Caenorhabditis elegans: one gene and its partners. The protein of the gene in region 3 interacts with the protein of the main gene of each other region in a pairwise test. Each region holds a gene or a part of one and is shown on either strand. Other genes may lie near its edges. The genes, in order: emc-2, rme-2, magu-2 and F10C1.1.

Evidence for each region.
Region 1: the proteins of magu-2 (region 3) and emc-2 interact in a two-hybrid assay, tested with the Caenorhabditis elegans proteins (one large-scale study listed by BioGRID).
Region 2: the proteins of magu-2 (region 3) and rme-2 interact in a two-hybrid assay, tested with the Caenorhabditis elegans proteins (one large-scale study listed by BioGRID).
Region 4: the proteins of magu-2 (region 3) and F10C1.1 interact in a two-hybrid assay, tested with the Caenorhabditis elegans proteins (one large-scale study listed by BioGRID).

What each region holds. Positions count from the first base shown.
Region 1 is NC_003280.10:1,301,420-1,308,569, forward strand, and holds emc-2 (ER membrane protein complex subunit 2), read right to left. Parts: upstream 4,718-7,150; 5' UTR 4,701-4,717; coding exon 4,664-4,700; intron 4,611-4,663; coding exon 4,477-4,610; intron 4,133-4,476; exon of another isoform or gene 4,082-4,132; intron 3,966-4,081; coding exon 3,777-3,965; intron 3,721-3,776; coding exon 3,637-3,720; intron 3,585-3,636; coding exon 3,426-3,584; intron 1,732-3,425; coding exon 1,636-1,731; intron 1,580-1,635; coding exon 1,475-1,579; intron 1,324-1,474; coding exon 1,243-1,323; 3' UTR 1,080-1,242; downstream 1-1,079. Other genes in the region: glb-31 (Globin domain-containing protein), read right to left, coding at 1-79; alh-6 (L-glutamate gamma-semialdehyde dehydrogenase), read right to left, coding at 4,966-5,182, 5,751-6,088, 6,138-6,596.
Region 2 is NC_003282.8:5,467,856-5,474,516, reverse strand, and holds rme-2 (EGF-like domain-containing protein), read right to left. Parts: upstream 4,491-6,661; 5' UTR 4,489-4,490; coding exon 4,432-4,488; intron 4,384-4,431; coding exon 3,832-4,383; intron 3,785-3,831; coding exon 2,935-3,784; intron 2,890-2,934; coding exon 2,699-2,889; intron 2,650-2,698; coding exon 2,441-2,649; intron 2,397-2,440; coding exon 1,595-2,396; intron 1,546-1,594; coding exon 1,429-1,545; 3' UTR 1,343-1,428; downstream 1-1,342. Other genes in the region: T11F8.4 (non-specific serine/threonine protein kinase), read left to right, coding at 1-339.
Region 3 is NC_003283.11:8,797,682-8,803,915, forward strand, and holds the start of magu-2 (MAGUK p55 subfamily member 5), read right to left. Parts: upstream 3,348-6,234; 5' UTR 3,316-3,347; coding exon 3,141-3,315; intron 2,863-3,140; coding exon 2,753-2,862; intron 2,707-2,752; coding exon 2,622-2,706; intron 2,562-2,621; coding exon 2,474-2,561; intron 1-2,473.
Region 4 is NC_003280.10:5,771,868-5,775,865, reverse strand, and holds F10C1.1 (uncharacterized protein), read right to left. Parts: upstream 1,638-3,998; coding exon 1,446-1,637; downstream 1-1,445. Other genes in the region: Doublesex- and mab-3-related transcription factor dmd-5, read left to right, coding at 1,698-1,836, 2,199-2,363, 2,675-2,767, 3,182-3,403, 3,452-3,675.

The DNA of each region.
Region 1 (7,150 bases), on a different chromosome or scaffold from region 3:
TGATATGATCCATCCAGACCGACCGAACCCTGTCGATATCAAGCTTGGGACGTCGGAAATACGCCAAAATTATGCCCATTTTTGGAATTTTTTTCAAATTTTCAAAAAAAAATTTGTTTGAAAATTTTCGTTTCCAAAAAGAATCTCAAAACATGCTAGAAATATTAGAAGTACTCAGAATATTGCAGAATACATTCAGAATCTGAAGACGTGCAAAAATTTGGAGGAAGACGGGGACCAAAATTGCTAATTAGCGCCCCTTTTAGGCCCCCCCCCCCCCGCGCTAATTTGTTTTTCTTTTTTATACAAATTAGCACCTCTTAAGAGGGAGCTCTTTTTGCTTTTTCTCTGTTTCTTAGGGGAGTTTCAGGAACTAAAATACGGAATTCTACGGAAAAATTCGAGAAAATTGGATTTTGTAGTTTGTAGCACGAAAATTGTGTACTTTCCGCTGATTATTATCGATTCTGATATCAAAAATTGAATTCTACACACATTTTTACCCTTATGCAGCTTTTTTCCGCAAATTTTAGAATTCTCTGCACTTTTGCGTAAAGTGTTCCATGTTTGCGTACTTTTGAGGCTACAGTAACCCGGAAATTTTTATTACAACTCGAATGGAGTCGAAAAAGTCTCGTATGGGTGAAAAAACATAAAAATCCAAATTTAAAACTGATAATGCACAAAAATCAATAATTTTTTTTTGGCTCAACATTTCTGAAAATTATCATTTTTCACTGATTTTTTAAACGATTCTGACACAAAAATTGAATTCTACACAAATTTTTACCCATGTATGGCTTTTTTCGCGCATCTTTCAGGTTTCTGTGCATTTTTGCGTGAGTCGCATGGTGTTTGCGTACTTCTGAGGCTACAGTAACCCAACTTATCGATTTCAGCGCCAAAAAGGAGCCGGAAAAACCGGAATAGATGTGAAATAACGCAAAAATTCAAGATTTTCAAGAAAAAAGTAGTTTTTAGTCTAAAAATTGCTATCAAAAATTGGTCTGCCAGACTACAAACTACAAAAAGCTATTTAGCAGACCCAAGACTCTAAAATGGAGCAAAAACGGTGGCAAAAATCATCACATTTATTTATTCTTGAGGAGTTCTTTTTTTCGATAAATATACTTTCGATAGACATTAAAAAAATTGAATTTTAACAGAAAATAAATAGGAAATAATCGAATATTCGGGGGAATGTACGTAAAGCATATCATTTTTTGGGAGGAAATTGACAATTTATTTGCTTCCAACAGTGACTTTCATGGCTTCGAGGCAATTGAGAATTCCGTCCGATTCTGGATTGCTTTTTGGACTTATCTGGAATTTTTTAAGGTTATTTTTAGAAAAATCACGATTTTTTTCGAATTTTTTTTTCAAAAAATTCAAGAAAAAACAGCCGAAATTCGGCATTTTTTGGAGTTTTTAGAGCTTTTTCCAATTAAAAACTATTAATTTTATCAAAATCTACCTTCTGATAACGATTAACCAAATTATCGATTGCATCAACTGCTGCAGCTCCGGCTTTCTTCTTTTCCGTCGCATTTTTGGTGGTCGCCGCGATCAAATTGTTGCTCTGAAACATTAATATAGACTACAAACTACAAACTACAAACTACAAACTACACTTACCAATAGAATTCCGTATTGAGATCTCAAATCGGTTGGGTTGATTTTGAGCGCACGTTCGTAGTAGGAACGAGCCAATTCCACGTTTTCGGCGCCTCCCTGCAAAAAATATAGTTTGGGTCTGCCAAATATGAATATGTAGTTTGTAGTCCAGCAGACCAATTTTTTCAAAATCACATGGGTCTGCTAAATCGAAATTTGTAGTTTGTAGTCCAGCAGACCAAGTTTTTCAAAATCACTTGGGTCTGCTAAATCGAACATTGTAGTTTTTAGTCTAGCAGACCAATTTCGAATTGAAATCACTTGGGTCTGCTAAATCGAACATTGTAGTTTGTAGTCTAGCAGACCAATTTTTTTCAAAATCACTTGGGTCTGCTAAATCGAACATTGTAGTTTTTAGTCTAGCAGACCAATTTCGAATTGAAATCACTTGGGTCTGCTAAATCGAACATTGTAGTTTGTAGTTTAGCAGACCAATTTTTTTCAAAATCACTTGGGTCTGCTAAATCGAACATTGTAGTTTTTAGTCTAGCAGACCAATTTCGAATTGAAATCACTTGGGTCTGCTAAATCGAACATTGTAGTTTGTAGTCTAGCAGACCAATTTTTTTCAAAATCACTTGGGTCTGCTAAATCGAACATTGTAGTTTTTAGTCTAGCAGACCAATTTCGAATTGAAATCACTTGGGTCTGCTAAATCGAACATTGTAGTTTGTAGTCTAGCAGACCAATTTTTTTCAAAATCACTTGGGTCTGCTAAATCGAACATTGTAGTTTTTAGTCTAGCAGACCAATTTCGAATTGAAATCACTTGGGTCTGCTAAATCGAACATTGTAGTTTGTAGTCTAGCAGACCAATTTTTTTCAAAATCACTTGGGTCTGCCAAATATGAATATGTAGTTTGTAGTCTAGCAGACCGAATTTCTTCAAAATCACATGGGTCTGCTAAATCGAAATTTGTAGTTTGTAGTCCAGCAGACCAAGTTTTTCAAAATCACTTGGGTCTGCTAAATCGAACATTGTAGTTTGTAGTCTAGCAGACCAATTTTTTTCAAAATCACTTGGGTCTGCCAAATATGAATATGTAGTTTGTAGTCCAGCAGACCAATTTTTTCAAAATCACTTGGGTCTGCTAAATCGAAACTTGTAGTTTGTAGTCCAGCAGACCAAGTTTTTCAAAATCACTTGGGTCTGCTAAATCGAACATTGTAGTTTGTAGTCTAGCAGACCAATTTTTTTCAAAATCACTTGGGTCTGCTAAATCGAACATTGTAGTTTTTAGTCTAGCAGACCAATTTTTTTCAAAATCACTTGGGTCTGCTAAATCGAACATTGTAGTTTGTAGTCTAGCAGACCAATTTCGAATTGAAATCACTTGGGTCTGCTAAATCGAAACTTGTAGTTTGTAGTCCAGCAGACCAATTTTTTCAAAATCACTTGGGTCTGCTAAATCGAACATTGTACTTTGTAGTTTGCATTGTAGCAGACCGTTCAATTTTTTTTAGTTTTCCTTAAAAAAAATCAATTTTCAATCATTTTCGGTAATTTCTCTATATTTTTTAAAAATTTCTTCATTTTTTGCATTAAAATAATATATTTTCGTTGAAAATTTGTTTTTCTGACATTTTTTTGACGGAAAACTGACAATTTTCGATTTTTTTTCTTCAAAAAAAAAAGTAGAAAAACGAGAAAAAACCAATTTCCATTGAAAATGTATTTGGGTCTGCTAAATATGAATTGTAGTTTGTAGCCCCCAGCAGGCCCAAATTTCTCCAATTTTCCACACACATACTTGAGTATATCTCAAATCGGCTAATCGTCTGAAATACATGGAATTCAGCGGCGAAATGAGCACACACTCCTCCAGGCAATGTACCGCCTTTGCCACGTCATTTTCGAGCAGGAAAAGCTCGCTGAGCTGAAGCCAAGCTTCTGGGTCGTTCAGGAAAATCTGAAAATTAATAAATTTTAGAGTTTTTTTTTTCTAGAAATCAAATGAAAACCTTCAGGTAATCGTTGATAGCTCGAATTGCGTCGAGACGCTTTCCCTGAGCGAGAAGAACCGCGACTTTTCGCTTGCGGAAGCTCTGAAAATTCAAATTATTAGAAATTTTGCAAAAAAAAAATTTCCTGAATTTTTTACATTATTATTGGGCTCATCCTCAACCAGTCGCTCATAAATATCCAACGCCTTCTGATAATGTTCCGTAGATTCCAACTGCATCGCTTTCAGCTTCAAAACTCGATTACTCTTCGGAAATTGTGCGTGAAGTTGGTCAATGCAATCCTGAGCCAGATCGACACGAGCCGCGTCGAGTGCTGCGATGCACACCTGAAAAAAATTGGAAAAATTAGGTGAAAATTCGATTTTCTCGTGAAAAATGAGTATGGGTATGCTAAATCGAAGCTTGTAGTTTGTAGTCTAGCAGACCAAATCTCCTCAAAACTACATTGGTCTGCTAAATATGAATTTGTAGTTTGTAGCCTAGCAGACCAAATTTCATCGAAACCACTTGGGTCTGCTAAATATGAATTTGTAGTTTGTAGTCTAGCAGACCCAAATTATTGAATTTTTTCTCGAAAATAATCATTTTTTCAGTAAAAAATGACCGTTTTTATTGATTTTTTCCAGTTTTTCGCCGAAATTTGTATTATTTTCACTATTAATCAACCAGAAACGTGATAACTTAGAAAAAAGCGTGGGTCTGCTAAATATAATACTGTAGTTTGTAGTCTAGCAGACCAATATGCTTTTCACCAAAAAAACCAGAAAATCTATGGTTTTTTTCTATTCAAAGCCAGATTTTCAGGATTTTCAGCGTTTTTCGACAAAATTTCAGCACCTGCTCCAACACAGCCCATTGCTCGTCTCCAAGAGAAGCCGGTGAGCGTGAAATAACGTGCTCCCAAATTTCGACGACCTCATCACTTCGTCGAACTCCGCATTCTCGCCACTTTTTCAGCGCTTGACGTCCTTCTGCAAGCATTTATCGATTTTTTTTTCAAAATTTGAATATTGTAGAATGTTACCATCGTAAGAGACTTGCGTCCACTCGGTTTCAACCATTTTCGGGAGGGAAATTTCTGAAAAATATTGATTTTTTCCAACTTTTTAATGGAAAAGTTCGGTTGGAAGGTATAAAAATAGCGAGAAAACTATAAAATAAACGGTTATAGCTGGAAAAAAGGAAAAAAAACAAAATTTATTATGCGATCACGGGGGAAAAAAAATTAAAATTCAGTGGTAAAGCAATAATTGTTGACCTAATCAAAAAGAAAACTATATTCTCAATATGAGAAAAATCGGAAATGAAAAGAAAAAAACAACATAATTATTCCATTGATGGATATTTCCAGTCAGTCAATGACACCGACGTCTCCTTAATCGTCAGCGGCGAGGTCCATCGGAGCCCATAGTGGGGGCCACCGGCCTTATCATTGGTTCCGGACAATCTGGAGCCTCCGAATGGCTGCTGGCCGACGATTGATCCAGTTGATTTGTCGTTGAGGTACATGTTGCCGACGGCGTCGCGGAGAACATCGCGAGCTCTGAGAAAAAAAAACACTTTGTTGAAAAACGTTTTTAACACAAAAATTCGCCTCAAAAATCTCGAAAAATCGATCGAAATCCAACAAAAATTCCAATAAAAAATACCGTAGCCCTTTAAAGGGACACACACTTTCACTGTTGGGTCTCGCCACGCTCAGGAACATCTTACTGTCGCTTTCAAATTTTTTGTTTGTTGTTATCGCTTTTTTTTTTCGATTTTTGCCAGTTTTTCTAGCTTTTCATTTGATTTGTGACGAAATTCGAGGGTTTTTATTGGAGAAATTGTGTAATTATCGTTTTTCGACATTTTTTAACCTATTTTGTTCGGTTATAGAGAAATTTCTTGAAAATTGCCGAAAAAACAGAATTTCAAGATTTCGAATTTTCCGGGAATAATTTTAAATCGACTTTTGGCAGTTTTCTTGTGCCTAAAATGTTGAATTTCAGCATTTTTGAACATAACAAACCCGAAAATTCGAGTTTTTCTTCTTTCCGCTGGGTTTTTAGATAAAATTTTTGAGTCCCTGAAAACCTGTGCAAAAACTTGTATTTTTTGTAGTTGCCAACCTATAAAGGAACTCCTTATCCTGCGAAAAAACGGCGCCAGTCAGCCCATAAGGTGTCGCGTCTTTCACAGTCGCGAGCACCTCATCAACCTTCGAATCCTCGTAGACCAGTACCGTCACCACCGGTCCGAACATTTCCTCAGTGAGAAGCTTGCTCTTCGGATCCGTCACAGTGATCAGGGTCGGCTCGATGAAGTATCCCGTTTTGTCGTCACATTTTCCGCCGAGCACCACATTTGCTCCGTCGGCTCCGGTTTTCGCAAAGTCAATGTAGGCCTTGAGCCTGGCAAACGCCTTATCATCGATCACAGCCGACAGAAAGACGGATCCATCGCGAACCTGTAAACTACAAACTACACAAAAATCGGCAAGCCAAACAGTGGCCTACATCTCCAAGCTTGATCTCTTTGTGAATCGCCGAGATTTTCTCGAGAATCTTTGGCCAAATCGATTTTGGCGCGTACATCCTGGAGCACGCCGAGCACTTTTGTCCCGAATATTCCCAGGCGGAACGGGCGGTTCCAGCGGCGACAGCGTCCACGTGGGCGGATGGATGCACAAAGTGGAAGTTTTTTCCGCCGCATTCTCCGATGAGTTTCGGAAAAGTCACATAGTTATCCAAATTCTCGGCGACTTTTCTCCAAATCGTCTTGAAAGTTGGCACGGAGCCAGTGAAATTGACAGCGCTCAAGTGTGGAGATGCGGTGATGACGTCACCGAAAACGGGGCCATCTGATGGCAAGAATGAGAGAATTCCAGGTGGCATACCAGCTTCCTCGAGGAGTTCGTAGATTATATAATTGGAGAGCACGGCGGTGTTCGATGGCTTCCAGAGGGAGACGTTACCCTGAAAAAATTGGGATAAAAATGATTTTTTTTTCGAGGGGAAAATGGCATTAAAATCGCGAATTTCATAGATTTCTCAAAAAAAAAAGTTAAAAATTCCAAAAAAATTGCCTGAAATCTCAGCATTTTGGGTCTGCTAAATCGAAACTTGTAGTTTGTAGCCTAGCAGACCCAATTTCTTCAAAACTACTTGGGTCTGCTAAATCGAAACTTGTAGTTTGTAGTCTAGCAGACCAAATTTCTTCAAAACTACTTGGGTCTGCTAAATCGAAACTTGTAGTTTGTAGCCTAGCAGACCCAATTTCTTCAAAACTACTTGGGTCTGCTAAATCGAAACTTGTAGTTTGTAGTCTAGCAGACCAAATTTATTTAAAACTACTTGGGTCTGCTAAATTGAAAATTGTAGTTTGTAGTCTAGCAGACCCATAGAATTGGGTCTGCTAAATCAAAACTTGTAGTTTGTAGCCTAGCAGACCAAATCTCTTCAAAACCACTTTGGTCTGCTAAATCAAATTTTGTAGTTTGTAGTCCAGCAGACCCAATCTTATCAAAATC
Region 2 (6,661 bases), on a different chromosome or scaffold from region 3:
GAGAAGTCGAAAGAAACGAAGGATCATAGAGAAAGTGGACGTCGCCTCACTGATCGGGAAGCTAATGCTGTTGGCGGAAAATCCATCGATGCCAAGTCAAAGGGAAATAAGGATATGGAGCAAAGGACTATCATGATTGACAAACCTGGAAGCATAACTCCGAAGAGCAAACGGTCGAGAACAACAACTAAAATTCCACATAAAACTCCACATAAATCTCATCTCAGAAAGGAGAAGCAGGAGTCGTCAGCCAACTCGAAGAGATTGAATGTTGCCCCATTGGTTCATCCCACAGTGCTTGTAGTCCCTGCATCCAAGAAAAAACCAAAAGGAACTTGAATCATTTAGTATGAATACTACTCGAATAAATTAGTTTTTGACTTTCAAAAATGTTGAACCGATTTCTTCTATTTCACTTTTTCATCCAGTTATCAGAAGCTTAGAAATAATTTCATCACAACCGGGAAGTTTAATACAAACTATTTTTGCTGCTGAATAACTAGAAGATGTATTTTTTATATTAAATGAACTTTTTTCTTACCTAAAAGCAGACACTTCTGAAAAGTGGAAGAAGTTTTCGAAGTTTTTATTCCGAAAACTGGAAAATATCAACAAAAAAAAATCGAAAAATTGAATATATAAAAAAGGCTGAACAATTTTTTCAACGTTCCAAAAGTTTCTTGTGTATTTTAAATTTCAATAAATTTTGAAACTGAAAATATTTTTTGAAACATTTCAAAATTAGCAGAATTTTTTGTGCGGAATGATTGCCGAGACGCGAAATTTTGCGCAAGAATACGGTGTCCGGTCTCGACACGCTTTTTTGGTAACTACAAAATGGTTGCCGAGTACTGTAATTTCAAACTTTGACTGCTGCGGAATTTTAATCGATTCTTTATATTTAGTTTTTCGATAAGATTTTTTAATATTTAAAAAAATTAAAACAATAAAAAGAAATAAATTTTAACAAACCATGAGAAACACTATGAAAAATCGACGAAAAATCTGCAACGGAAGTTTGAAGTTACAGTAGTTCTCAAAGGCGCACACCGTCTGTTTCCAATTAAAAAAAATTATCGTGCCAAGACCTAGCGCCGTATTATTTATGCAAAAATCACAAAGTTCCGAATCTGAACCACGAATGTAGAAATACCCATCTTTCAATGGTTAAAAATAATTTCCGCTTATTTAATAATCACTTCCAAATGATTTTGTTGTTCTTTCTTGACGCCGTCTATCCGTGTTCTAAACAGTGATGTAACAAGTTTCTAATAAAACTATTAGAAATAGAAATGTGTTTCACATCTCGATTGTCATTTAAAGAGTATAAAACAACAGTACTAGTAGACATTATCAACTTTCATGCAATAAATAGGCAAAAATAGATATACTTTACAGACATCTGATTTAGTAATTTTGTAGTAGAATTCACAACAAGCTGTCGTTCTCAAATCGAATGACTCCAGCGAATGGTGCGGAAGCCGATCTGACGAAACCAGTTGACGATTCAGGAACTTCATCGTACATGGGGTTTCCGTATGACGTCTGAAATTAATCAATTTTTATATAAAAAATATCTAAAAAAAGATCTCACCGGCGAAGAGTCCATCCGAATTCTTTTCTCAGCATTTGTCTCGTAGGAAACGAAGTCAACGTTTGTTGCCGTTTGACAACCTTCTCTAGGAGGCGTGCTCCTCTGCTTATCAGTGACCTTGCGGAACTTCTCGACAATTGGAGCTGCAGCATCTTCCGCTTTTCTAGCCATGTTATCAACACGGACACGGGCAGTGGAAATCACATCTTTCATATGCTCTTGTTGAGAAAACCAAAGGAAGGCAATAATTCCGACTACCGCAACGATGATGAGAAAAATGAGAAGCAGAACGATAAGCCATAAGGACGAATCTTCCTCTTCCATTGCGGAGAACTTCTCTGGATTGAGCCGTTCGCAGTATTGCCCGTCATATGGACCCTCACAATCACAAACGATGCGATGAGCTCTTCCGTGCTCATTTTGTAGTTCACGGCAGGCTCCTCCATTCATACACGCGACACCAGCTTCGCAGTATTCGGCCATCAAAGCAGATCCAATGTGGGAAAGCTTCTCAAGGTTCTCCTCGTCCTCAATCGTCACAGGCGGGATGCAAGAGTTTTCAGTGACGGAATGAGTGTATCCGTCTGGGCAGACACACTTGGCAGTCATAATGAAATCGCTCTTTGGCACAATAACGCAGAGCCATGGGCACTCGAGTTCAAGGCATGGGTTTGATGGAGGACCAGTCTGGTAGAGTGAGTGATTGACAGCAATACCATATGGATAACGATTGAAAGTATGGATGACTTGAGGACTCGAATGATGATGGGTCATCTCTTGAACCTTTAATGACTCGCTTCCCCTGAAAAATAAATTTGAAAATATAAATTAGATAAGATGTCTTACCAATCTGCCCAGTATAGGAAACCATTGAAGTAAGCCATGTCATACGGATGATGAACTCCGTTCGAAATCACTACGCGGCGCTCTTTCGTGTCGATATTGACTCTTTCGATCAACTGACGTTCAACATCTCCAAAATAGACATCGTGGCGGATGTAGTCGATGGCAAGAGCTGATGGAACTTCCAACTTGTTGTCGAGAAGGATTCTGACCTGAAATTTATTTAGAAATGAACTAAATCAGATCGACTCGACGACTCACCTGAGACCCATCCATATTAGCCATCATGATGCGATGATATTTCTGATAAGAATCGATCCAGATGATGAGACCGCGCATCGGGTGAACAACAAGACCACGATAGGATTGTCCTTGTTCTTTGCCTTCGATAACTCGGCGACAGAACATTCCGCTCATTGTGCAGATGGAAATCCCAGCGCTTGGAGATGGAGCTGTAAGAATCACAAATGAAAAATTTAAACATTAGATAAACATACATTTTTGTGTGAAGAAAACGTTTCCACCAATCCAGTCGACTGCCACGTTGCTCACTCCAATGACATTTTCTCGAAGAACTCTCATCAATCCATTGTCGGACACTGACAATTCGCCAGTTGGATCACCGTGCTCATCAGAAATTGACATGAACATTTTGTTGTTGCGATGCATGAAGTCGATCGATCTGATGGTTCCGTGGCCAGCAAACTTTTGAATCGGCGAGTAATTTGAACCATCGGTGAAATCTGCCAATGGCATCTGTCGAACTTCTCCACCAAGACTGATGAACAAATATCCTTCTGGCGTAGTGGTTGTCTCGTATTTACAAGAATGCCCATCCGTTTCAAGCTCATAACCGTTGGCACATTTGCATGCAAAGGAACCCAAACGATCTTCACAGAAATGCTGGCACAAGTGCCCATGAGTTGCACACTCATCTTCATCCTCGCAAGTGAGTCCGTCATCGGCAAGCTTATATCCTTCTTGACAAATGCAGCGAGCCCCGTGTGGAGTGTTCATACATGTGTGGTCACATCGCTTTCTGGCACATTCGGAGCAATGTTTTGACTCGTCATCTCCTAGTGGACACTCCTTGATCCCATTACACGTGGCATTCATCGGAATACAAACGCCAATTTCGGATCCTTTTGTTCCACAAGAATACATTCCTGCTGCTGAGCACGAATGCATGTGATCGGCTTGCCCAGAAAGATATTCTTCTTCGCTTGGAGCATTAGTTTGGCAGTTTTTCTCGTCCGAAGCATCATCACAATCTAGATCGCCGTCACAAAGAAAACTGTCAGGTATGCAGACGTCTCCGCTATGGCACATTGTGTATCCACTCCGACACTGAAAAATAAAAGTTAAAACGGTATTAATAAACATTAAACAATTACCTTATTGTCTTCATTAGCGAAAAAGGTTGGATCGACAAGATGAACATCATCGTGAAAATCAGTCGAGGACTGCATATTTTCATGTCCCCTTCTGGTGCAGTTGACCTCATCATCTCCTCCAGAACAATCCGTATGTCCATCACAAACGAGATCTGGTTGAATACATTGTCCTGATCGGCATCGTAAACGAGGAGGATGGCATTCTGGGCCATTGTGACCAACGAAAGTGGTAGGAGCCGAAGGATTGGAACCATCGAAGCGAGACTTCAGGATATTGTACTCGCAATGCTGCTCATCGCTTCCATCGCGGCAGTCGTCTTCGCCGTCGCATTTGAACTCATTTGCGACACACAGTCCATTCTTGCATAACATGAAGCTTGTCGAACAATGATGCGCATATGAGCAGCCCGATTCGTCTCTTCCGTTGTCGCAGTCCGCTACGTTGTCGCATTGCCACTCCGCGGGAATGCATCGGAGTCTCCCGTTCCCGCAATCAAATTCCTTTGCTTGATCGCATGTCGAGTTGTTGACAGCCGGAGCTTGAGCTGTGTTCTGAAACATGAAAATACATTGAAAAAACTAGAAAAACGGGGAAATTACCTTGATTAGTATGTGAATAAAAAGTGGGAGCAACCAAGCAAGGCGCATGGTTCTCATGGTGAGTGAGATTATGAAAAGAATGAAAGAATGGCATCGTTTTTAGGCAAAAATTCGCGCCTTAAAATGAAAATTCAATTTCTCCCGCCGGGACAGAAATGCATTTTGATTAAAGGAACATCATGGGACGCGCGCGCCTGGTCCCACCACGAAAATAATTTTAGTGTTTTCAGAAAAGGCTTGATGGAAATTTTTGGTTTAAATTAACCATTTATGTTTTCCAATAAATCTTTTAAAGATTTGAGTGTATAAATCAAACATTTTAACACAATATTGAACAAATTAATTCGAAATCTTCAAGTACAGACATACGTAAAATTAGTGCGACAGTAGTAGAATCGTTGTGCAATTTGTTTTTAAATGTACATTTAATACATAAAAATTGTTCATCTAAAACTTTGATGTATCTGCCATTCATTGTTACCATGAATTATTGTTCGGCTTTTCAGAATTTTTTTCAGGCAGAAAGTGTAGCATCTGAAATAAAATCTTGCAAATGATTTAGGATTGCGTTGTTGGTGTTTAAAGTTGTGGAAACTCTTGCTTAATTCTGGTTGAAAACGATGCGATAGATAATATATTCAGTTTATTACAGTTGTTTCTCGCGTGGGAAGTTTTGTAGAATTATAGAACATTGGAATCTTTTCGAGGAAAAACAGGTGGATGAAACGGTAAATGGGTTAATCTGTGAATATTTTAACAAAATACACGATGGAAACGGTAGAGGTGCGGGCAATTTAAAAATTGAATTGCTCATCTTCAGAAAAATACAAATTACGGGCAACTCAAAAATGGAAACCTCAAAGGAAATGAGCATTTCAAAATCAGACATACATTTTTCACTTTGTTGCTCGCATTTCCTTTTTAAAATAAGTAAAATTCTCAAAAGTAAGCCCTGAACATACACTTTATCGATAAAAGCAAAACAAAATCAAGTTCAGTTCCAATTCGATATGGTTGTATTGGTGGTAGAAGTGCTGGCGTGTCAATTTCCAGAACGAGCCGCTTTGACCGATTCGATTGGGTTGATTCGCTGAAAACTTTCAATTAGCTGTACCCCGGCCAGGAATATCTCACCGAGTAGATGTATGTAGCTTCCGGTGTATCAAACGACACCTTCTTGTCGGAAAACTCATCATCCACTTTTCCGTCACTCAGCGCTCGAGCACTCTCATGGACAAGCAACAGACTCCTAATCGTGTTGGAGAACACCAGCCTGGTCTCAAAGTGAACTTCATCTCTCTTCTTCAACTCCACCAACGGTTGTAGCTCGTTGAGCACAAGCTTCGTGGGGGAATGCTTTTCAGACTGAGCTTCTTGTTACGGTACATCTCCGAATGATCAGTATTCACCGTGATCGCCTCGTCGGTCTCTTTCTGCAAATAAATTTTTACTTGAACTTTCAAAAAAAAAGTTCACTCACCATGTCCTCGTCAGTCGGTTCTATATTTACTGCCCAGGTGGGGACGTCCTGACCCTTGTACACATCTTGCTCTGGCTCCTTCTTAATGTCCTCCAATTTTCGAACGTGATCATAAGAATCCTCAACGGGAAGTAAAGAGGTCTCAACTTTCTTCTTCGGATTGTTGGTTTTGTAGAAAGTGGATGGCTCGTCGCATAACATCATACCATCGGGCTTATGCTTCAATCGATATGGTTTTTTCGGCACTCGATCCAACAGAAGCTTGCTCTTCGCATCGATTGGCTTCGCTTTTGCCGTCGACTTCTTCTTTTCCCTCAACTTCTTATAGACTCGCTCCGTCGTCTTATCATCCACCTCGTGATTCGTGACCTCGATGTTTTTCGGCTCGTTGAGCCGTGTGGTTCCGGGAACTGAAACGGGAAATTTTGTAGGTATTAGGACTTAGGATTTTCAGGTAGGTACGAAGATGTCTGGCATTTTAGTGACTAACTGAAGGTATATGAACAGGCAAGCATGATTTTTTTGTTGGAATTTTCACGTGGAAACATTTTAGAATTTAATTTTTATATTTCTCTAAATAGTTTTGCTTTCACGTGGATTTCAATGTTTGCAGTTGATTTTTTTCGACGGGAAAAATGTTTCAAAAGATTCCAAAAGCTTTCAGATTTTTGAAGAAGCTTCCGAAAATTTTCTAGATGCTCCCAGAAGATTCTGAGTATTTCTGGAACTTTTCAAAGTTATCTTATGTTC
Region 3 (6,234 bases):
CCACTTATGGAGTGAATCTAATTAGAGGCTCAATTCATTTTCAAAAGAGTGGTCTAATAAGAAAAAAAAAAATGTAGTTGAGTTTCAATTTTTTGAAAATCAAAAAGTTTAAAAGTAAAATTTGAGGAGAACCCAGACTTTGTAAAAAATCAAAACTGAATGTTTGCAGTTTGGATTGAAAAATTGACATACTCGGTTTTGTGACTAAACAACTTGACACGTACTTATTATTATTACGAAGTGTGGTAAGAGGTGTTACCAAAACAATTTGAAGAACATTCGATCATAATGTTGGTTTTGATTTTCTCTTCCAAAAATCATTATGAAGATGAAAATGTGGAAAACCATGCTGGTCACCCAACATCAACCAAATCTAGTCCTAGAATAATTCCCCATTCAGCCTGACTCTCTTCATGACAATTGTATACAAAGTGGTGCAGGTTGAGGGAAAAGAGGAAGGTGAGAGTGAGTGAGGGTCGAAACAATAGACGGTATTGTAGTTGTTCACACACAGTCCGTATTGCATCTTCATCATCTTTCGTGCGCGCTTCTTCTACTTTTATGTTTGCTCATCACCAGCTTTACATTTGAGGTCCCGTTTGCGCATCCCTTCCTATTGGGGAAAAGATGTATACAAATACATATTTATGAAAACCACGATTTAGAAGGTGGTGGCTATGATGTATAAATATTTTTAAGCAATGATGAGACATATCGGGAAAGTAGCAAAACACTAAGAAAATGAAAGGTTCTAAAAATGAATATTACATATAGTAGCTGAAAAAATAATTTTTGAATCAACAATATTTAAATTATACAGACTAATTTCTAGAATTCGAACCCAATATATTTCCAAAAATTGCAAATTATTCCTATACTCCTTGAAATTTTCGAAACATTAGAAAAGTAATAAAATATCTTCTGCTCCACTGATAATGATAACTTAAAATAATTTGCCACTTGATAACAAATATAAAAGCAAAATTTTGTTAAAGTCGCGATAACTGTGTCCATCACCAAACAGTTAACCGATCCACAACTACACAAAAACCGTACCGTCCTCAAAAATTTATGATGCATGAAATTTGCACAATGATGACAAAAAGAGGAACGGTTAGGGTTGAATGGAAAAAAAGAAAGTGTAAACGGATTCAATAATTATTTGTTAAATTTTTGGGTTTGGAAAGAACGGTGCAATTGACAATTGTCGACAAGGAAAAGTGAGGAGACGAATGGAAAGCAATAAATGGTTTATGTCAATAAATAACAATGTGTGTCTAATGTGTTGGAGTTTGATGTATTCGTTATGACCTTTCACCCATTTTTGGAAAGGTATTCCCCCGAAAATAAAATTCTGTGACTCTTTGTAATTTGAGAGAACGGCAGTCGTTGCTCCTTATTCAATTTTTGACGATTGAATTAAAGTTTTGCAGAACATTTCCTTTGAAAAAGTGTGTTGAAATTTTAGCTGCAGCTGTATAAAATCTTTTTCTGATAGTTTCAGTCGTGCTAAAAGGGTGCTAAAAGTCATTGCTTTTCAAAACATACAAGAATCAATAAATTGAAAGTAACATGTTATTCCAAAGCTAGGCAAGAGTTTAGCTAACTGTGAACATACAAAAAATCTCAAAAGCGTAGTAAATTGTAATAAAGAACTGTAACGTTCTGAAACCCTAACAACCTGCAATTATCACAAGTCAGACAACCTTCGAAACGAAGAGAACACAGAATTTGAGTGATGATAGTTTTTTGATAAATAGTGTAATGAGACAGAAACATTTAAAAAGTTGATGAAAGAATAAGAAAAAAGGAATGAGAAAGAGAGAATGAGTGTGATAAGCGCAATGGGAGGTTCTATTACTTGAAAATGCCACTGACTGTGAAATAGAATATCAGGGAGACATAAAAAAGAATCGCCAGGTTGACTGATTAATCACTAGATTTATTGATATATTTGACGACGGAACTCTCCGTTTTTTCTCTTTTTTTTTCTCCATTTTTTGTCTTCACCTTGACAGATTATTGGTTTGTGACATACTAGACGTGCCGACTAACTGTGTGAAATACTAGAATGTGACCTATATAGTTGTGAAGACTGGACGAACGAGAATTCCAAATTAGCTCACATTCATAATCTCAGTGTTTTTGTGTTTCCCTGCCCGTCAGAAAGTTTCGAGGCCATTAATTAATTTCTAGAAAGCAGGTCGACGAGTGAACAACAAAGATTTTAAAGAAAATGAAGAGAGATGAATTTTTTAAGTGAAATGAAATAAATATGAGAACTTTTCAAGAACATTGATTTGCCAAAAACCAAATCTTAGTGGTATTTGCACTATTTGTCATATATTCACTGTTTATGCATATACCATAAATAGAGAGCACTTAAGAACTCTTCTTTCCGTTCTTTACACGTTCCGCTTCTCACAGATAGTATCGCAGAGAAGAAAATCTCTCTCAAAAAAAGATTACTCACTTTTTCAGCCGTTTAGTAACTTCCTTGATATGATCCTTATCCACGGAAACTAGATATGCATCCGTTATCATACGATTCGAATTTGTGCCTGAAATTAAACAAAAACTAAGTATTAAAAAGGAAAAAGTATAAACTTTTTTTTACTCACAGTTAAAAACAGAAGCTTCATTTTCTGCTGGAATTTCTAATGCACGACGTCTAACTTTCAGCTGAATGATTTTTCGACGAATACACTGAAATTTGAAATTTTGCAAGAAAGTATCATAAATTTTATCAAACTTCTTGAATATAAGTTGTGACTTCCTCATAACTTTTTCCTTCTATTTTCATGTCATTTACCCCAACGATTTCATCTCCAATGCTCAATCCTGCTCTTTCCGCAGCAGTTCCTGTAATGGAAATCGATTATTTTTTCAGAAGTCTGCATAAAATTTGTAAAGCACTTTATATCTGATTTCCAGACACCTTGAAAAAAGCGAAAAAAATTGCGATATAGGTTAAAAAAACGCCCACTTTGCCGATGCCATCAACGATTTGGAGAATCGCATTAGTACAAATGTTCGTTGACAAAATTTCAGTAAAAATTCATCAAAATTGCAAATTATTTCAATAAAAATACTTCAAAATGTTTTTATAAATTAGTCAAATAAAATTATCTTTTACTTACCGTACAGCCGAACAACCTTCTCTTCTCGTTCAACCAAAATTACAAAACCACTCAACGGCGTCGAAGTGCTCACAACGGTCTTCTTATTTCCAACACCACGTGCACTGCTCAACCGTCTCAAGGATGTCCTTTTCAAGTCGGACAGTGCCTGTGGTATCGACACCGACTTGGACATTTGATACTCGAGCCACTAGATGAAGGCTGAAAATTTTTTGGGAATATTATTTCCAACGAAAGCGAAAATAAGAAAATGAGAATCCAAATTTCTGAAAATAAAGCAATAACTGAATCGGAATGGAATTTATGAGTAGGTGAAATGAAAAAAGTTGTTTTGAAATCTCGTGGTTTTCATTTTGAATGATGAATGCTAGGATTCCGGGATCTGCTCAAAACTTGGATCTAAAAATAATCATAAACTTGAAACAAATGAATAGAAATGTCAGAATCACTCGAAAAACTGCTACTTCATGTAAGCGTTGTTGCGTGAATAATTGAGACAGAAAAAGAACCGAGAAGAAGAGTTGTGATGAGTGCACTTTCTTAGTTAATTGCTTTTTTTCTTTTCTTCTGCAATTGTTTTTTGTGTTTCAAGAGCTTAAAGAGGAATGGGGGATAAGAACTAAAAGACTTGAAGCGCTTTTGATGAGATGGACTTTTTGGGGTAAATTGGAAAAAGACCGACAAAAATGGGAATAGTTGAAGAGAAAATTCAAAATAACAAAAAAAGGGAGCTGTGTATAAGGGGTACTGTATGTCTTAAAGTTGAGAACAGAGGTTATGGACAAAAAAATAATCTTAAAGTTATCTGAGAAAGTTACGGTATCATAGAACATATTTGCCAGATAACAAATTTCTAAATTGTTGCCAAATTAAAAATGCAATCTTAATTATTGACTCACGAAAAGCACAATTAAAAGACTCCACATATCAATACAATATTTTTATCTGTAGTGACATTTTCTAGATTGATAAAAACAGCTACTTTAAAGATTTTGAAAGTAAATTTTAAGTTTTTCCTTTGAATTTCAAAAATACACTTCTAAAATTAGGCATATCAGTGAAAGTTTGCGTATTTCAAGGAAAACAGTAAGTGCAGCTGTCAAGCATGCTGCAAGCAATTAAAATTACACACACTCTCTAAGAATTCATAAAATTGTCTTGTCACGTTTGTTCAATCAAAAAAGATGAGGTCTTCAAAGTATCCATGAGCTCAAGACACACGGAATGAAGCACTAAATAATAGCTTTTCCCGGGGATAAAAAATTGAACGAGACAGATGAAAACAGTGGTCCAGATTGATGATATTGACATTCATTCCACTAGTTCAGTGTGACAGGGAGATGGATAGATTGGGAATGAAAACTGGATGAGAGAGCTTGAGATTTAGAGTGACAAATAATTATGGGGGATCCTCTTGAGAGAATCGCACCGAAACTATGTGCATCGTGTCCGGCAGAGGGAAACTAAAAAAAAAGATTTTTGACGCCATTGGTGTGTCTTCTGTGTCTTTTTCCACAGAGTCTCGAGTATAAAAAGTGAGAACGAAGAAGATACAGATAGTCGAGGATGGGGCAAAGAGAGAAAGGAAGATGGCGGTGTGGGTGGGAGAGCACAAGAAGGTCCAGTCTGGGGACAGAAAGAAGCACATGGAGCAAGAAAGAGAAAAGGAGATGGTGAATTGTGACATTCGACCCGCAGGGATTTGAAGAGACGCAGGCCGCATAGAAAGAACAAGCTATAAGATAGAGAATAGCCAGCTGATTAGTGCTGATTTCATTGATCAGCTCATCTATCTTCAACATGTCGTCTTGTAATTTTCTCTGAGACAAATTACGCCGATCTTCTATTGTGACTCTCGTAGCTTTGAAAAAAAACCAAGACAAATAACACTACTATTATGGTTAAAGTTCGTAACTTAAAAAAAAAAAACTTTTTTCACCCGCCTCTCGGATCTCAGTCATTTTTAGGCTAGTTTCGAGTTTGATGGGCATATTTTATTTTGTATAGAATGCAAAAAACAAATATGGATTTTGAGAATAAGTTGTGAGAAGATATTGTGAAAAACATAAACGTCCATCGTTGATAATCTTCACAAAACGTTTGTCGAGAAACTATGATTTTATGCGGAAATTATGCAAACAGTTTTTTGAAATTCTAAAACATATTAAAATTTCAAAATATAACCATTTAAACTAAATAGGAAAACTAATTCGCTTAATCAATTTTGAAAAAATTTTGAACCGTACGCATTTTGTTCAATCTCTAGAGAACTAGCGACACTTTTAAAAACTTACCGAATTTCTTGTATTTCTCTTGAAATACTTTTGGTTTAAAATTTTGTGTGGAAAATACTTTGAGATTGTAAGGATTTTATGTTTGAAAATAATAACGTTCATAGAATGTATATGAGTCAATGGAAGAAAACTTTTTTACAGTATCAAAATTTATAGTCAACCTGCTGCAATTTTATATTCAGCAAGTTTTACAGGAAGTCAAAATAGCAATAAGAAAGTCAAACTCAAACAAAAGTGTTTTTACATAAATGAAATATTCACATGAAAATTATTTTTGGCAGTTATCCTAGAGAAATTGCATAGATTAGATTAAATTAAGAAAAGTAAAGTCAACGAGACCTTCAAATAACTTTCCTCCGCCGTCAAAGCGTGTTTAACTGGCATTCGAGAACAAATCTAGATAGATATGATCTCCTTTTCTGTGGAACCAACCATCTCCCTTTCTCACTTTTCTTCACTCGTTCATCAACGTCGCCGTGAGAAACGTTTCCAATTTCCGGCTTTTTGGTTTTTAGAAGTATGGCTTTAGAGATCTCCACACTTCTATTTTTCTGATTCCAAACACTTTCAAAAATGAGCGAAGAAATTTGGAGAAAAGAACCAAAAAGAAGGGAATTGAAGGGGTTCCTAGAAGTCCCAAACGAGTGGTTTTAGAAAACGAAAAGCAGCTGATGAGAGGCCCCGTGTGCGTACTCACACTTTCATTCAAAAAAAAAGGAAAATAGTGCTCAAAGAGTTGCCAGCTGGTTATAAAGTTGACGGATTTGGAAAAGAGTTGTTGGAACGGCGTTTGCAAAGAA
Region 4 (3,998 bases), on a different chromosome or scaffold from region 3:
TTCAAAATTTTCGTTATTCAAAGTCTCAACGACGACTTTCCCTGGCGAGCTCACCAATGAACAATTAATCTTATTCAATGTTTTTACAGTTAATGTTCCAGACAATTTCAGCTGTTCAGTAGAATTCAGACAGGAAACAGGTTCATTTTTACACGAGGTGTCTACGTTTTCTGATAGATCTGCATAGGTTATTATAACGTTTTGGAGTGTGCCAGAGTGTATCTGTTATCTCCAGAATTCATTGGTAATTAAGTTAAATTTTGCACCAAACCAGGAAATTTGTGGTTCTTATGTATCTGTTCTTGGACGTTAAATTCGCGATCACTACTTCGAAAATGTACGCTCAACCCCATGCTTACAAATTTTACTTGAGCTCTCTTGTAATACACTTGTTCAGAAGTACACCCGTTCTCTTCTCTATCACAGATTACCTATTTTCATATTTAATGTGTAAAAGGCCATGCCGAAATCCAATCAAAACACAAGCATGAGCTTTTGCATTCGCAAATTCTAATTACAAGGGGGTGTCCACAACCAACACTCTTCTCCATATGTTATGATTATTGTTGTTAGCATACCCTTCCTTAGCCTCTTTAATACGTTTTGCGGTAATTTAAATTAGCATCTCAATCTCTACTAGTTATTTGTCATGATACCTTGTGATTATTACGCGGTTAGGCCCGATGCTTTTGTGGCAAACTTGTAATTATTCTGATGTTTAGAGAGCACACGATTTCAAATTGCAGCCTCTAAAATTGGTGTGTACGCGAATCTAGTAAGATGTAAACTTTATTGAAAACACTTTCAATTTTATTCTAAGAATTTCTTGTTGTGGTGGTTGGCAGGTGATTGATGGCTCGTGATTTGGCATATGGTGATGATATTGATTCCATAACTTCCATTCAAATCTTGAGAGAAGTTGCGCTACTTGCAGCAGGATAGGAATGTGTTCACATTTTTTGAACAAAATTAAAGTTTCAATGTTTTGTGGGTACAGTTTTTGAAAATGCATATCTCCAAGCGTCACCATTTTTCAACTCCGGAATTTTGAAATATGGCAACCATGGCCTAAAACAAAATGCAGGTCAAGTGGCTTATTTGATTTGATAGTCCCTACTCACTATCAGAAACTCGCCACACCTTCTCAAGAAAGGCTAGAAGCTTTTAACCAAGTTTAGCCAACTTTCGGTAGTTTTTCAGTGCTCATTTTTGGGATCATCCAAAATTTAACCAGCTTTACCTAACTTTTGCAACTTTTGCGATAACTTGCTAAAGTTGGTTGAAACGTTGCGACATACTGTCGAGTTATAGGCGATTAAGCAAAGAGCAGTTTATCCAGTTTTTTTCGATTTAAAACTATTTGATTACCGTATATTTTCAACATTCCTAAATATAGTGCCTTGTTATACACCCACTTGATTATTACCAAATTACTCAATGTTTTCTCACAGTCTCTTATTTTTTCTTTTCCTTCTACTACTATCTCTGGATATATCTGTTTCATTTGATCCTACAGTAACCCCTCTTTCCCCGACACCCTCTTCACAAAGGGTGGAGCTTCTTCCGGTTGGTGGTCCGCGCGAGCACTGATCGAAGAGCAAAAGGGGTGGGACTTGAGCATTCCTTTTGGGAACCATTACCTCTCATTCTGATATTATAACATTTCACCTTATTCACAACAAAATATTTTAAACAGAATGCCTGTTTCTCCGTCGTCAGTATCTGTGCTACCGCCAACTAGCCTCGAACAGATTCTTCGAATTCGTGCAGAGAGGAATCAAAGGACTCCGAAATGCGCGAGATGTCGGAATCACGGAACTACTTCTGCATTGAAAGGTTCGTATTTTAATATTCCATCAAAACAATTAACCATATTCATCAGTCTCATAGAATAAAAAATAAAAACCGAGATTCAAGCTGTCAAATTAAGCAAGACTACCAGAAAAATCATTTTGTTTAATCCTTAATCGAAGTACAAAATTTTTTTCAAGTGCATGTAATAGTTCCAGTAAAGCTTACTTCAAAATATAAGGGGACAATAACACTCGATGCTCCGGCTTCTGTTAAAACCATAAAATAAGTTGCTCTATAAGAACTTTCAATTTTTGGAAACACATCACCGATCTTGCCATCTTTGCGTGATTTGTGCTCTCGTGGAAAATCTAGAATTTAAATGTAATATTCCATAAACTTTCCAGGTCACAAACGTTACTGTCAATGGAAGGATTGTATGTGTGCAAAGTGCACATTAATTGCCGAAAGACAACGAGTTATGGCTGCTCAGGTTGCTCTTCGTCGTCAGCAATCTCAGGAAGAAAGAGACGCAAGAGATTTGGAAGTACTTCTGGGTTCTGCTGGAAATGGTAAGTCAGCTTATTTAAATATTCGGGGATTAAGCTGTGGAATGCTGGTGCTGAATCAGTGCATGTGTTTTTCCCGATCAAGTATTTCCGGTCATTTTTCATTCAAGTTGTGTCTTGAACAAGCTTCCCGCTGTGCTCGAGGTGCTAGACTAACTATTGGGTAACCTGACACTAATATGACCTATACTTGTTACAATACTAATAGTTCATTAGGGTCATCTTTGTATGCTCACACACCTTCTACAATGACACATTGTTCTCTTTTTTTATAGAATAACACGCTAACTTTTTATTTAATTTCTATTTTTTAGCGAATGATCTCCTCGATATTCTTCGTCTCGATGCCGGTGAACATCACGGGAAAAACCACGCTTCTCCGACGACCAACAACAATAATAATACTGGTGAGTCGACATGACAGCCTGTTCGAGACAGAGAAATGAGAGTGCGCTCTCTTCTTCCCGCAGTAATGTGAAGGCTACGGAGCGCCGCGTCGAATGGCCAGCACGATGGCCGAGTGGTTAAGGCGTTGGACTTAAGTTCCAATGGTGGATAACACCTCGTGGGTTCGAACCCCACTCGTGCTAAACTTTTTGCGTATTCGGAAACAGGTGCACTTTTACCCCATCTCCATAATCCCCGTACCTGGTTGCGTAAGTCAATTAGCTAGAGAGCACTGTAAGCTTTACGAGAAGCAGATGCATTTGAGAGGGATAAGCTATTCACAATATTGATGGGATTAATCTAGATTAGCACTTTACAAGTCAATTGCTCTCATTTAAAAGATTAACCTTAACTAACCTTGCACTACCTTTCAGAAGAAAAATACGAAGACTCACAGGGACAACGGAGTTCACCAAGCTCTCCAACAGGTTCTGAAACTGTTGTAAGCACTTCTTCCCCACCTGAGCTCTCATCTGAATCAACACCAAATACCAGTGGCTCAGTGATTCCAACAAGTCCAGTTTTCAAACCAAATGGATACTCTTCAATGCCAATGTTCAATCCTGTGTATGGAAGACCATTCATGAGATTTCCGAGTAAGAGAGCTTATTCAATATTATTTCGTAAATTAAACTTATTTTCAGTGTTTTCAGTGATGCCGCATTTCTTCGGAACTCCATCAATGTCAGATTTCGCATCTGCTGCGAGCCTCGCAGCTCCACCAGCGTTCTTCTCAGCCCAGCCAACAATTGCCACGTCATCACCGAGCACAATTTTCCCACAAACTGCTCCATTGGATTACAGTCATCGTTTAATGAAAAATGAGGAAGCCGAAGAAGAATACCGAGAAAATGATAAAACATTTTGAGAAATTGAATATTTTTTCTTATCGTCAGAATCAGAGTTCCAATACTTTGTATATTTTTATATGGTCACATTTAAAATTGTATTTATGATTTGTCTTCAATTAAAAAAAACTAAACTGAATAAAAAATCTTATTAAAATTGAAAAAGAAGTAGAAAACATTGAATAGAAAGATTTTTCGGTGGAAAATGAGCGGGGGGAAACACTTGAAGTTTGAACGGGAAAAGCAGTGTATTATGAAAAGAATTGCAAACGTTTTTGTTCTTTTTTTGATGTTTTTTAAAATGAATTTCAGATTAGCGATTTTAAGTGAAGAGTCTTAAGCA